Schizosaccharomyces pombe: one gene and its partner. The gene in region 1 interacts genetically with each later gene. Each region holds a gene or a part of one and is shown on either strand. Other genes may lie near its edges.

Region 1 (5,898 bases):
GCTTCTTTGAAGTGCATCGTTTTTTTTTGTTGCTATTTTACTTGCAACTACTACATCGTTAGAGTATTACGTACTTTTTAAAACTTCCCTATGTCAGCTACGCAGTTTGGTATCTGTTTAACGATTCATTGAATTGCGGTGAGTTTTTCTTGCGACCTACAATACAGCGATATGCAATATGTTCAAATAACACTATTATAATTATTATAATAACGAGTATTTGTATCGATCACCGATATCCCTATAGCTAATAACTGAACTGAGGAACTAGGTTCAATTGATCTCTATTTATAGAGCTTGAAAAAGCTATAATTTTAACTGATAGTTTCTTACCATAAATGGTAATAAATTTATCTTGATAACTTATTATTTACAGTTGATAGAGCAAATAGAACATGTGGCATATAACGCAACGTAGAGTCATAACGTATTGTAATATTGCTGACATTTACGATATGATAAACTGCGGGGTGTTTCTCTGCAAAACATATGTATATATTTGGGATGAAGTTATGTTTAGTGAGAATTTATTGGTGCTAAAACTCAGTCCATACCGATTACTGTGTAATTATATTCTAGCTCATCTAAATAGATTGCAACTAAATTGGGAGCACCGGTTCAGTCGTACTTAGTTAATAACTGATCTAGGAGGAGATATTCAATACTTCATCTACTTCCAAAAGCTTTATACATACTTTGAAGCTACCTACTAATAGAAACACTATTTAAATATTACCAAGTCTTATAGTAGTTAGGCCCTTTGAAGTACGTTGATGTGTTTTAGTAGGTGAGATTTATCAAGTTTTAATTTGATTGCTATTTATATACACAAAGTAGCTATTGATTTTCCGTTTTCTTAGTTTCTTACATAAAATAGTATTAGTTTGTATAATTACAACAACAAATAATAAAATATTAGGTGATCCAAAGTAGACTTTGATGAAGCGTAAGGTGTTTCGTAAGATTGGTATTGTTTGAAGCGAACGAATATTGGTAAGTTTTAGCCATCAAAATAAATTACAAATTAAATAACGATTTGTACTTTTCTCAGTATCTTGATCAGTTTTAGAAATTATACAATATTTTTAGAGTAGTAAGAAAATAAATGAATTATAGAAGCCGAAAATTACTCTATTGTAGATAATATATATGTACAACAAAAATATACACTCCATCCCTGTTGGTGGTTAGCCTTGTGATTCTGAGAATCACTTATCTTATAGTATATATCAACTATAGAAGGAATTTCAAAATATGAGTGCAGTAATCTTTTTGACCAGAGACAGCGATTCACAATACATTTGAAAATAATTTGGAAATCCGAATTGACATTAAAAGAGCTTTCCTAAACGTAATCTTCCTGTGACTTATCAACCCCTATTACTTGTAACTCCAAATCGGAATCGGACTTGGTGACTTTTCGATTTAAATACAGACTTTTTAACTTTCCCCAAATCACTAATACATGGATACTGAAACCATGAACAATGATTGAGGATAAGATAACAAACGAAATGATCGGCCAAATTATTTCATTAAGTGTTGAAAATACTGTAGTTGATTCATAAATACTCTTTTCAATTTCATCCGGGGACAACAGTAATTTTGCAAGAAATGCCATATAAACTGCGCAAACCCCTATTGGTCCGAAATGTCCAACGAAAAGGGCTTCTTTCCATGTCTTAATGTCCGGAACTAAAGGCTTCACCGAAAATACAACCGGTAATCGACGACAAACTAGAGTCAATATGCTAAAGACAATTAAACGCCAAACAGGCAAGCCTTCAACAGACCAATTAAAATTATTCCAGGGAATGATTGTACCATAATAGGTAAAAAATAGTAAACTAAAAGTCTGATCAATAAAAGCAGGTACAGAACAAGCAGATATATTTTTGGAAAATAAATCATTCCAGTTAAATAATATTCCAGCAAAAAAGGACATCAACAGGTCATCAACTCCAATAATAGTTCCTATCCCAGAACATAATAAAGGTATCGCTAGCGGAAGGGAATAATAACTAATAGCATCAATTAAACGGTATTTCTGAGCGTGCTTTAAAATGAACGATAAAAGATACCCTATTACACACCCAAAAAATATACCAAATGCACATTCATACAACACAACAAGCAGCACCCAATCCCTCCCTGCATTCCTCGATGGCTTAACAGTAAGAAGTTTGATAGCAAAATAGAAAAAAGGAACCGCCATTCCATCATTACATCCAGACTCAGCGATCAATAAAGACCGAATCCGTTCAGGAGTCTTTTTAGCTAATGGACCTTCTCCTACAATCAATGCTGATAGAACAGGATCAGTAGAAGTTATACATCCTGCGATCAGCAAAGATCCTAAAAAGTTAATTTGTGGAAACAATGCATATGCAAATCCAGCTGTAACTAACCACCCGTAAGCCATAACTGGTAATAGCATTACAATGATGCTTCGAAAATTATGTTGAAAATATGCACCGGGGAGTTCTATTGCAGAAGCAAACACACGCACATCAAGTACGATTCTACAAATCTCTACTGTCAAGTAATCTCCATGGTCACCCCAGGAAAAAGGGTCTACGAGTTTAGCAGCATGAGGCCCAAATATTAATCCAGTGATACTTCCAAGAACTACACACTAGTATTAGTCTTATTTTATATCAATTGCTAATTTTCAAAAACCACCCTATACAATATCTTCAACGTACCAGCTTCTCCAACTAGTAATTTTTTTCGAAAAACTTCTGAAAAATAGCAGAAAAATGTTATAAATCCCCCGGCCACTATTAAAGCTAAATGGACTTTGTCTATATCAAGTTGTCTCCAGCCCATAGTAATTAGGCAATATCCACAAGAGAATGTTTTCTTGTAATAAATTCCTATAATATTTTTTTTAGAGTATTCGACATAAAATGTGGCAAAAGATACAGTTAGCCACGGACTGATGCGTGCATGCCTGTGGTTTATACTTGAGGACCGGGGTACCTTAGTTATCTTTTTGATTGGAGTAACAAAGCTTGTTACTTGGGTTTTAACGCTTATCAACTTAAAAAACATGCCTTTTAAGTAACTATTCAATTTTAAATTCACTGAGACTGATTAAGCACATTTGAGGTGGGCTGTTATATTATTTTTTTTTATACAATTTTAGCAGGATAGTGAATTGTAAATATTGTGCGATTGTTATACATCGTATGTTTATATAAATTTAGCACCATTAAATTGATTGAAAGGGTGTTGTGTACTCACTTGTAAGCTATTAATACCTCGGCAGCAAAAAGCTTTGATTATAACTTAGCTAAAAAGACCTGATTGGATTAAGGCATTTTATCTCAATATGACATAAGTGGCAATAAATCAAAAATATTGAAAATTCTTTCTATAGGATTTGATTACTAGTGTAACAGAAGTCAATCTTTTATACTACTTAAAAAAGGAAGTAGTGAGCATAAAACAAGCACTCTTGTAATTCAACCATATGTAGAGTTAAATTAGCAATGAAAAACTGTATGGGATTAACGAGAACGACGAAATTACACAAATATCCAGTTGACACGTTCTGTCAAAGGAATTGCCAGGCCTATAATCACATTGGTGGGGGAAACTTGTTAATTGATGAGATAACGGCCAAGGTATTGACTACCGAACACAGAAGGAATTTGGTATTTCGATTACGGGCAGGAGAAAAGTCATGAGCGAATGTTTGAACTTGTTCTTTTTCAGTGGACAATTTCTCCTCATGAACAACTTAGGAAGAATTCAAGAGCTCCTTTCATGTCAAATAAAACGAGAAACACTTTACGTTTAAATGAATCATTTGCTTTCATGCACAATGTGGTGGCAAGGTTAGTTACATAGACACAACCGAGTCTCACCCCATGAGTTGCAGATCCAGAATATAGAGCGTTTAAGGCCACTCGCTTACTTAATATCAAATTTCATACTATTTAGACTTTTATAAAAGACGATTTTCATTACTTCTAGCCTTTAAACAATAAACCGTTGTTATATATGAATATATATTATTTTCGCTGTAAAGCAAGCCTAATTTTTTACTTAGCTTGAACAAACGAGACTATAATTTGATGAGGTCAGCCCTAATCGTACCCAACAGATTGGTCACTGAATTTTTCGTATATTGTAATATCTGCCATTGAGCTAATTAATTTAAGAGGATAACAACCGAGACTTTATACAATTCTTTTTATTTTTTTATAGTAATAAAGAAATGTCATTTTTAAATATTTCTTTAAAAGCGCTGTTGATTGCATGTCATCTAGTACACTAGCTAGTTAACCCACTGTACCTAATGATACAGGATTGTAAACCTTATCAATTGGTCCAAAGACATAAGAATTTCGATAGTGAAGAGGGCCTGATATGTTTAATGAAACATGTCTTTCACCTAAAGTACGAGCTTAGCATCGTGGCTATAATATTTCTGAATGCACATTCATCATTTGGTAACGTAGCCTGATGGTACAGTACTAGAGTATCCAACGTACAAAGATTTATTTGGTACTATTACTGAACGTTTGTACTGCATTTCAGCATTCAAAAAGTAGGAGCTTCGATAAGCAACGCTGTTTGAATACAAGACTTATCTTGGCGGTGAAAAAAAGCTGTAAATGGCATTGCTAAAAATATGATATTAAAAAAAAAGCGAGTAGATAAAATGACCGATAAAATAGATATAAATAAATAGGAAAATACGAATTCTACTCTACAATTTTACTCTTATTGTGTAACAAATCACGCTGAAGTATCGCGGATGAGTAACTTGGCCAACTGACGCATGTATAGACAACTAAAGTTTATCTGCATATGTCAAAATGTTACTTGAAAATAAAAAAGGTCATAAACGAGCAGCGAAATTAAATCTGCACTTGCGAAACCGCGCACTATTATACTATTTATCTCCAACAAAAATAATTATTATACTGCTTAATAAATTATACGTTGCATAATAACAATATTTTCCATACAGCGTTTTCCCGTTCACTCTTTGCGGCGCCTCGCAAATAGCCAGATTTATATGAAATTGTTTATTTAAAAAGTCAAACAGAGAAAAATAAACATAGAACAAAACGCAAGGCGTACTACAATACGTCTTAAGTGTTGTAATCAACCTTGCAAAACATTATTTAACTTGTGCTAGAATACGTAAATCCGTTGTAAAATACAATGTAATCTATGCTGTGTAACCGGGCAGGCATCGTTCAAGCTACACATTTCTAAAACAAAAGTGACAAGAGGTGCAATTGTTTGTAAAGTTTATGTTGGTATCGCATAATGTCAAGAAGCAGAAAGGCAGTAGGAAAGCGATACTAAATAACGATTGACGGTAAAGAATATTGAATAAAATTGTTTATTTTTCAATCAAGCCAATGAAAAAAACAATAATCCAAAATAGAATAAATATAAATATAATCACTAACACTTTAAAATAAGCCCGAAGTAAAATTGGTTACACTCATTCCATCAATCAATTTGAAACAATATCGAATATAATTTACCAGCATATTTTTGTAAATGATTATAATTCTTAGGTTTTGGTAAGGGGTGGGATGAGAATATAAAAACTACAGTAAGTTAACGATTGATCAGACAGATGATTGATGAAATACGATGCATAAAACTAGAATAAACTAATCATTAACTTACACGATTTCATCTCCAACTTGAAGAAAAAGTAGAACAAATAAAAAGGCATCACAAGCTGCCATACAAAAACTATCAAACTTTGTTCAGCTAAATGTTTTGTGCATAACGATGATTAGGAAATTAGTGTGGAAAAGTTACAACCTTATGTACTGTTTCGGAAAGATACAGTAAAACAAACAATTCAAGAGAGATCTAAAGAGACAATCAGGTTAATGGCCTTTAATAATAAGAAATTAC
Region 2 (7,134 bases), 2.8 Mb from region 1:
ACCCAAAATAAATGTAAACCTTTAAGTTAACACTTAGAAGTCTAATACTTAATGTTAGAACAAGGGAACTCCAACGTTCGATTTCGCTTGTACAAAGATATACGAAGTTAGTGGTGGTGAACTAGTAATGATGTATTGGTAAGCAAAGATATCAAATATTTACTAAGAAACCAAGTAAGATCAAAAGAATTGCTTTTACATAAGCCTTTAACTTAAAATTATACATGTATTTGATTTTTATGCATTTATTTAAAATATACCATGGACAGGAAAAAATGAAATTACCAACAAAGTATGCATAATTGGCGTTTCACTCCAGCTACTAAATCCTAGACATTGAATACATAAGAATAATACAATTAGTAAGTTATTTACTTTCCAGTATACTAGTGAGTTAAGTAACCTATTCTTGTGTAGACTTAAACTCTCCAAACTTAGCTAGTGCATCTTCAAAAGATGATTTTCCCTCGACCATAGAAACAAGAGCAGCAATAACTTCATCTTGACTACCACGAACTTGCTTAGTAGAATCACGTTCGCGAAGTGTAATAGTTTCGTTTTGAAGAGTCTCAAAGTCTACAGTCAACCCGAAGGGAGTTCCCAATTCATCGTTACGAGCATAGCGACGGCCAATATTGGCATTAGAATCGTCTATTTTATTAGAAATGCCAAGATTGCGAAGTTTGGCAGACAATTTCTTTACAAAAGGAGCGAACTCAGCATTGCGGCTCAAAGGAACAATGAGGGCCTTAATAGGTGCGATAGAAGCAGGGAAGGACAAAACACCACGGTTTACGTCTTCTGGTCTAGTCCAATAAGCATGTTCCATGAGTACATACAAGATTCTGCCTAATCCAAAGGATGGCTCGATAACATTAGGAGTATAAGTACGAATGTGTTCAGTATGCTTTCTCTTCTCAATTGTGACGAGATCAGATTCTACTGTATGCTCAACACCATTAACATTAACAATAATTTTACCTTCAGCAACAAGTTGAGCACTTTTTTCAACTTTTTCCGATTCCGGCCACGAAATCATAGCTTCCTCAACAGCCTTGGCATCACGTTTGAAACGTGGACCAAATTTTTTGCGATTAACTTCAACCTCGAATTGTTCAACAACAACAGGTTCAGGAAGAGCCTCTTGAACTACTAAAGGAGTCTTGGTAGCTTTACTGTGAACGCTAAGATCATAGGCACTACGATCAGCGCAACCTACACACTCGATCCAGCCGTAAGAGCATTGAATTTCGGCATCCCAGCAATCGCAAGCATAATGAGCCATTTCATTGCTCATATGTTGCCTAAAACGAACACGGTTCATATCAATACCAATTTTCTCCAAGAATAAGCTGATACGGGCCATAAAATAACCTAATGTAGTGTTATCAACAATTCCTTTCTTGACAGCATCACCTATGGGCATTTCCAAAATGTCAGTCTTTCCTTCTAATTGGACACCACGGGGCAACAAACGAAGGGGCATATGAGAAACCTCGTCAAATCTATCATGCTCTTTGTTTTTAGGATCGACAAAGTGTTCGACTTCGGCCATCAAAAACTCACGAACACGAAGCAGGCCACTCCGAGGAGAAATCTCATTACGGAAGGCTTTACCAACCATAGCACTGGCAAAGGGAACTTTGCCGTTATTAAACTCCAATAAACGGCTAAAGTTTAAAAATTGTCCTTGGGCAGTTTCAGGTCGGAGGTAACCTTTCAGACCACCACTGGGACCAATTTGAGTTTCAAACATTAAGTTGAACTGACGAGGGGTTTCAAGCTCACCGTTGGTTGCAGGGTTACGAATGTCATACTTCTTCATGAGCTCACCTAATTGATCTCCATCATAGTTGTCAATTTGGGCAAGAATAAACTCGTATTCCTCAACAGTCTTGTCATCCAGACGAGTCGCACGAATTTCCTTTACCTTCTTCTTACGCTTCTTCTTGTCATCAGATTCTTCAGGCTGGTCATTGGAATTCTGCCCACGAGCTTCCTTGTCACCCTTCAAACGGGCTTCCAAAACCTCTTCAACCAAGTGGTCGGCACGAAAGATTTCACCGGTAGCAGGGTCCTTACACATCCAATCTGCAAACTTATCAACATGCCCACTAGTCTTCAAAACTTCATGAGGAGTAAGCATGGAGCAATCAACCTCCAGCATGCTTTCTTCGATAACAAAGTGCTTTCGCCAAATATCAACCAGATTAGATTGAAGTGCACTACCTGGTGGGCCATAATCATACAATCCACTAATTCCACCATAGATTTGAAAAGAAGGAGAGAAGAAGAATCTCTTCTTCATTAACTCCTCGAACTGAGTTCGATCAAAAGCTGCTGCCTTTGAAACTTCTGTCATTTTTCTACTGAAAATCCGTTTAGCAAAGGCTGTGCAAGAAGAACGAAACGCTTGAAAAGAAATTATGCAAGCAAGGAGCGAAAAGCTTTAAAATGCCTGCTTTTCGCCTGGTTTTCAAATGTTTACGGAAGATAAACTGTTCAAAGCTAGAAATTTTGCTAGTTCGTAAAATTCATAGATAGTGCATTTTGTTAGGCTACATCAATTCATATTATGCGTTGTTATGCGAACTTTTGGACTTTCCTTAATTTAAATACGGTACCTGTAAAAAGTACTTGAACACTCTAAATCTTGTTAACATTTTTTACGGAACAACAACGATTTATGTTAAAGATCGTCAACAATCTCACTTCACTGCCCAAAGCGTACAACATGGTCGAAGTATAGGCTGAAACTTTGAACCGCTTAGAAACTACCTTCTACGGGAAAGAAGACGCGATTTTACGTTGTATTATAAGAGAGGAATCCTCAAGTATTGTTGAAAGGAATCGTCAAAGATTGGGTAAAAATGTCGTTTGTCATTTGTCATAATTCCCTTTTAGAAATTTAGTGGTTTCCTCATCAGTATCGCTTTTACCCGTAGATTTCAAAACTAATTGCTTCTTATCTTGTCCATAGTTAAGGATTTCCGTTAACTTCAAACCAATTTCTCTGTTTCTTGTTCTGTTGTTGGTGGGTTTGGCTGGAAGTATTGACTAAAATAAATGGTCCTAAATTACATTCAAAGATGGTTCAAGTGGGTGATACCAACTTTTGGATTCTTGGCAATTCATTATATTTACATTATATCCTTAACTATCATTGCCTCTATCCTACTTTTTACCGGAGGGACCACCACGAAAATCAAGTATATCGATGCTTTATTCTTAGCTAGCAGCGCAACTACCCAAACAGGCCTTAACAGTGTTGACTTAAATTCTTTATCTATCTGGCAGCAGTTTATCCTGTATGGATTTACTGCTATTACGGTTCCTATATGGATGCACGGAAGTATTTCCTTCATCCGGCTGTATTGGTTTCGACGAAAATTTAAAGACGTTGTTCGTCAAAATCGTACTCGAAAATTTCAGAGAAAGCTCCGTAAAAGCTTAATGAAAAAAAGCGAGGATGACGAAGAACAGGGTGTTCGTGGTAGAAAAATTCGTGTAATGTTACCATACCTACATTCACTAAGGAGTCCAACGTCTCTAAAAAACTTCTCGAGATTTGACACGCATGACAGTACGAACAATCCGTACTTTCCTGACAACCCCCCTTCTCCCAAGGCAGATATATCTAAAGACGAGTATTTTGGAAAGTATCTCCCAAAAAAGTCTGATACGCTAGACATGGATTTGGAAAGTCACAACATGACTTTTCATGACTATGAACCTTCCATTGAAAATAAAAATTACGATTTTGGTAGTTCGCATTCAGCCTCGATGCAAATGTATGAAATGGATGACCTTCATCCCCGACTTCGTAGACAAAGCTCTTTTATTTCCTCCGTTAATCCTTTAGAGGCTGACGACACCCGTGAAACTTTATCTGAAGGCGCCTTAGTTCAGGAATCTCTCCCTATGGCTTATAGTTATTCTGATACTAATTTGGTTGTATCGAGGGATTCATTTACTCTCACTGGGGACGACAATCTTTTCCCAGAAGGTGGTTTAAGGCCTGCCAATACAATAGACGGAATAGTAAGGTCGTCTCTGTCTTCTTCCTCCCTATCTAAAGACACTGAACCATCGACAGTTGACATGCATATTGCTTTCACCGGACTTAATAAGCCCACCATAGAGCGTGAACGTAATCTTAAACTTAGAAAAAAAAGTCGTTTTTATAAAAAATCTTTACGTTCCAGATTTTCGCGAGGACTTCATCGTCCAATACGTTGGACAAAGTCATTCACTTCTAACCGACGAAACTTGACTCTTGAACGAGTCCTTTCTTCTGCCTTTGCTAAAAAACGTGAGCCTTCTATTTCATCAAGACACACTACTATGTCACTTCCCTATTTGTCGTATAATCCTACTGTCGATCGTAATTCTGCTTTCGTTGCTTTGTCTAAAGAACAGCGGGACGAGCTGGGTGGAATTGAATATAGAGCTTTGAAATGCGTCTGCTCCATGGTTACCCTTTATTTTATCATTTTTAATATTGCTGCCTTTGTGACCTTCATTGTTTTTGCTTATACGGCAGTGGGATCGCGAGAGGTAATAGATTCTTATGACTTACGTCGTGGGTGGTGGGCGTTATTCTCGTCTGCTTCTTCATTTAATGATTTGGGGTTTTCTTTAATACCATCGTCTTTTGTGCCAATGAATCGAAACATTTTTCTTTTGTTGATTTCATCTTTATTCATTATCGCAGGTAACACGGGATTCCCTTGTTTTTTTAGAACATTCATTTGGACAACGTATAAGCTATACCCTTTTAGTTTTGAGAAGAAAGAAGCTATGGCATTTCTCCTTGATCATCCTCGACGATGTTTCACTTTATTGTTTCCATCTGGAGCAACCTGGGTCTTGTTTTTTGTTTTGCTGCTGCTTAATGTCATTGATCTGGTATTGTTCATGGTCTTAGATACTGGAAGTAAAGCAGTCGCTAGCCTTCCTAAAGGTATTAGGGTTGTAAATGCAATATTTCAATCAGTTTGTACAAGAACCGCAGGATTCACGAGTGTATCAATTAGTGAACTTCACCCAGCAGTACTGGTCAGTTACATGGTTATGATGTATATTTCTGTTTATCCAGTTGCTATCAACATGAGAAATACCAATGTTTATGAGGAGCGATCTTTGGGTGTTTACAGAACTGAAGATGATGAGGGGAAATCTTTCTTAAAAGATCACCTTACTGAACAATTAAGTTACGATTTATGGTATATTTTTCTAGGGCTATTCATCATATGCATTTGTGAAGGAGGTAAAATCTCCAATCCTCTAGATACCGATTTCAGTATTTTTACTGTCCTTTTTGAAGTAGTCTCTGCTTACGGTACGGTGGGACTTAGTACTGGATTAAGCTCCTCAAATTGTTCACTTTCAGCAAGATTTACTACTATAAGTAAACTAGTTATTATAGCACTTGAACTGCGCGGTAGACATAGAGGTTTACCCAGGGCTGTTGATCGAGCCATCCTTCTTCCTTCTGAAAAAAATAATCTGAAAGAAGAAGAAGATTATCAACGTCGTCACGGATTTTCCATAGACAACGCACGTGGCAGTATTGCAGTTTCTCGAGACTGATATTTCTTATCACGATCATGTATTATATTTGTAAATTATATCATCTAATAAATAGTACGCTCGCTAAATTTCATACTCCTGATCGATACACCGTTTGTCCGCCATTTCTGAGTTGAATTGTTTCCTTCGACGAAAGAATTTGTAAAGCCATTTCTAACGCGTGTTGTGAATATCCATGCTAAAATTATGTTAGACTTAGATTTAATCAATAAACATACCCCATTTACGTATTCTCGTATAAGCATACGGTAACTCGCCTGAAACCCTATAGGTAACCTTTTTCTTAAGCTGGCTTCAATTTTTTTTACTTCCTCAGTAACTTCAGGCGAACTTTGTGTAGCAGCAGCAAGTGTACTGGTCAAAAACAGTCGAATCGCTTCAGTAGCGTGAGCTTCAGAAGCAATAGGTGATAATGACATTTTTGCAAGGGATTCAGTAATTCGTATGATTGCCTCTAATTGACGAACAGTGATTGGAATGGTAGAACGCGAGTTACTGTCCTGCTCTGACTGATGAACACGTTTTCGAATTGCGACAAATTGACTAGATAGCTTTTCAGCTGCCTCTGCATCAAGATTAGGTGCACATTTGCTAAATCCATTAGTAACTAATATTAAATTTGGTATACTTACTGTCTACAATAGTTTATGTACCGCCGAAACTTATCAAAAGGAATTTCTCCAATTGCTAAAGTCTCACTAGATTCTTGTAAATTGGTATGAAGATTAATAACGTGACGGGCAATATTTCGATCCTTTGTTTCATCATGTTCATCCTTAACAATAAATATCATGTCGAATCTTGAAAGAATCGTAGATTGAAAATCAATGTTTTCACCTGGTGTCTTCATATCATCGTATCGGCCAAAAATTGGATTAGCAGCAGCTAAAACGGATGTCCTAGAATTCAATATAGTAGTGATACCGGCTTTAGCTATTGAAATAGTTTGTTGCTCCATTGCTTCGTGAATAGCAACACGATCTTCATCCCTCATTTTATCAAATTCATCAATACAGACAATGCCACCATCAGCAAGAACCATTGCGCCACCTTCAAGGTAAAATTCTCTGGTAACTGAGTCTCTTTGAATAGAAGCAGTCAAACCAGCAGCACTTGAACCTTTACCGGAAGTATAAACAGCGATGGGGGCCAGTCGCTCAACGAATTTCAAAAATTGAGATTTCGCAGTACCAGGATCACCAAGAAGTAAAACATTAATGTCACCACGAAGGCGCATACCATCGGGGAGAATTTTTTTAGAACCTGAAAAAAGTAGGCATGCAATAGCTTTCTTGATGTCTACATTACCATAAATAGCGGGAGATATGCTGTTGGATATAATATCGTACAAATTCGGAGTACGAGAAATTTCAAGGAACTCCTCTTCTTCCTCTTCACTAAATAAAGGAGTAGATTTAGAGCCATCATTTGAATCCATTTGAATACCCACGACTCTGATATAAGGGTTCCGAATGGCCACGGCACCACTAGCTTTAACAGACTTATTTTGAAAAATAGAAAAAATGCCAGTAATAACGCAGC

Evidence for each region. A genetic interaction does not mean that the proteins touch.
Region 2: of nhe1 (region 1) and trk1, changing one enhances a phenotype caused by changing the other (phenotypic enhancement), as found in Schizosaccharomyces pombe (one study listed by BioGRID).

What each region holds. Positions count from the first base shown.
Region 1 is NC_003424.3:49,048-54,945, reverse strand, and holds nhe1 (plasma membrane/prospore membrane sodium ion/proton antiporter Nhe1/Sod2), read right to left. Parts: upstream 2,958-5,898; 5' UTR 2,830-2,957; coding exon 2,706-2,829; exon of another isoform or gene 2,629-2,705; coding exon 1,346-2,628; 3' UTR 1,088-1,345; downstream 1-1,087. UniProt on the Schizosaccharomyces pombe protein: Sodium export from cell, takes up external protons in exchange for internal sodium ions. Involved in regulation of pH.
Region 2 is NC_003424.3:2,816,714-2,823,847, reverse strand, and holds trk1 (plasma membrane potassium ion transmembrane transporter Trk1), read left to right. Parts: upstream 1-2,776; 5' UTR 2,777-3,066; coding exon 3,067-5,592; 3' UTR 5,593-5,662; coding exon of another isoform or gene 5,663-5,770; 3' UTR 5,771-5,810; downstream 5,811-7,134. Other genes in the region: glycine--tRNA (Gly) ligase Grs1, read right to left, coding at 404-2,362; MCM complex subunit Mcm5, read right to left, coding at 5,663-5,770, 5,811-6,183, 6,225-7,134. UniProt on the Schizosaccharomyces pombe protein: Together with TRK2, defines the major, high-affinity potassium influx transport system. Involved in maintenance of the proper sodium/potassium ratio in the cell and in regulating the plasma membrane potential.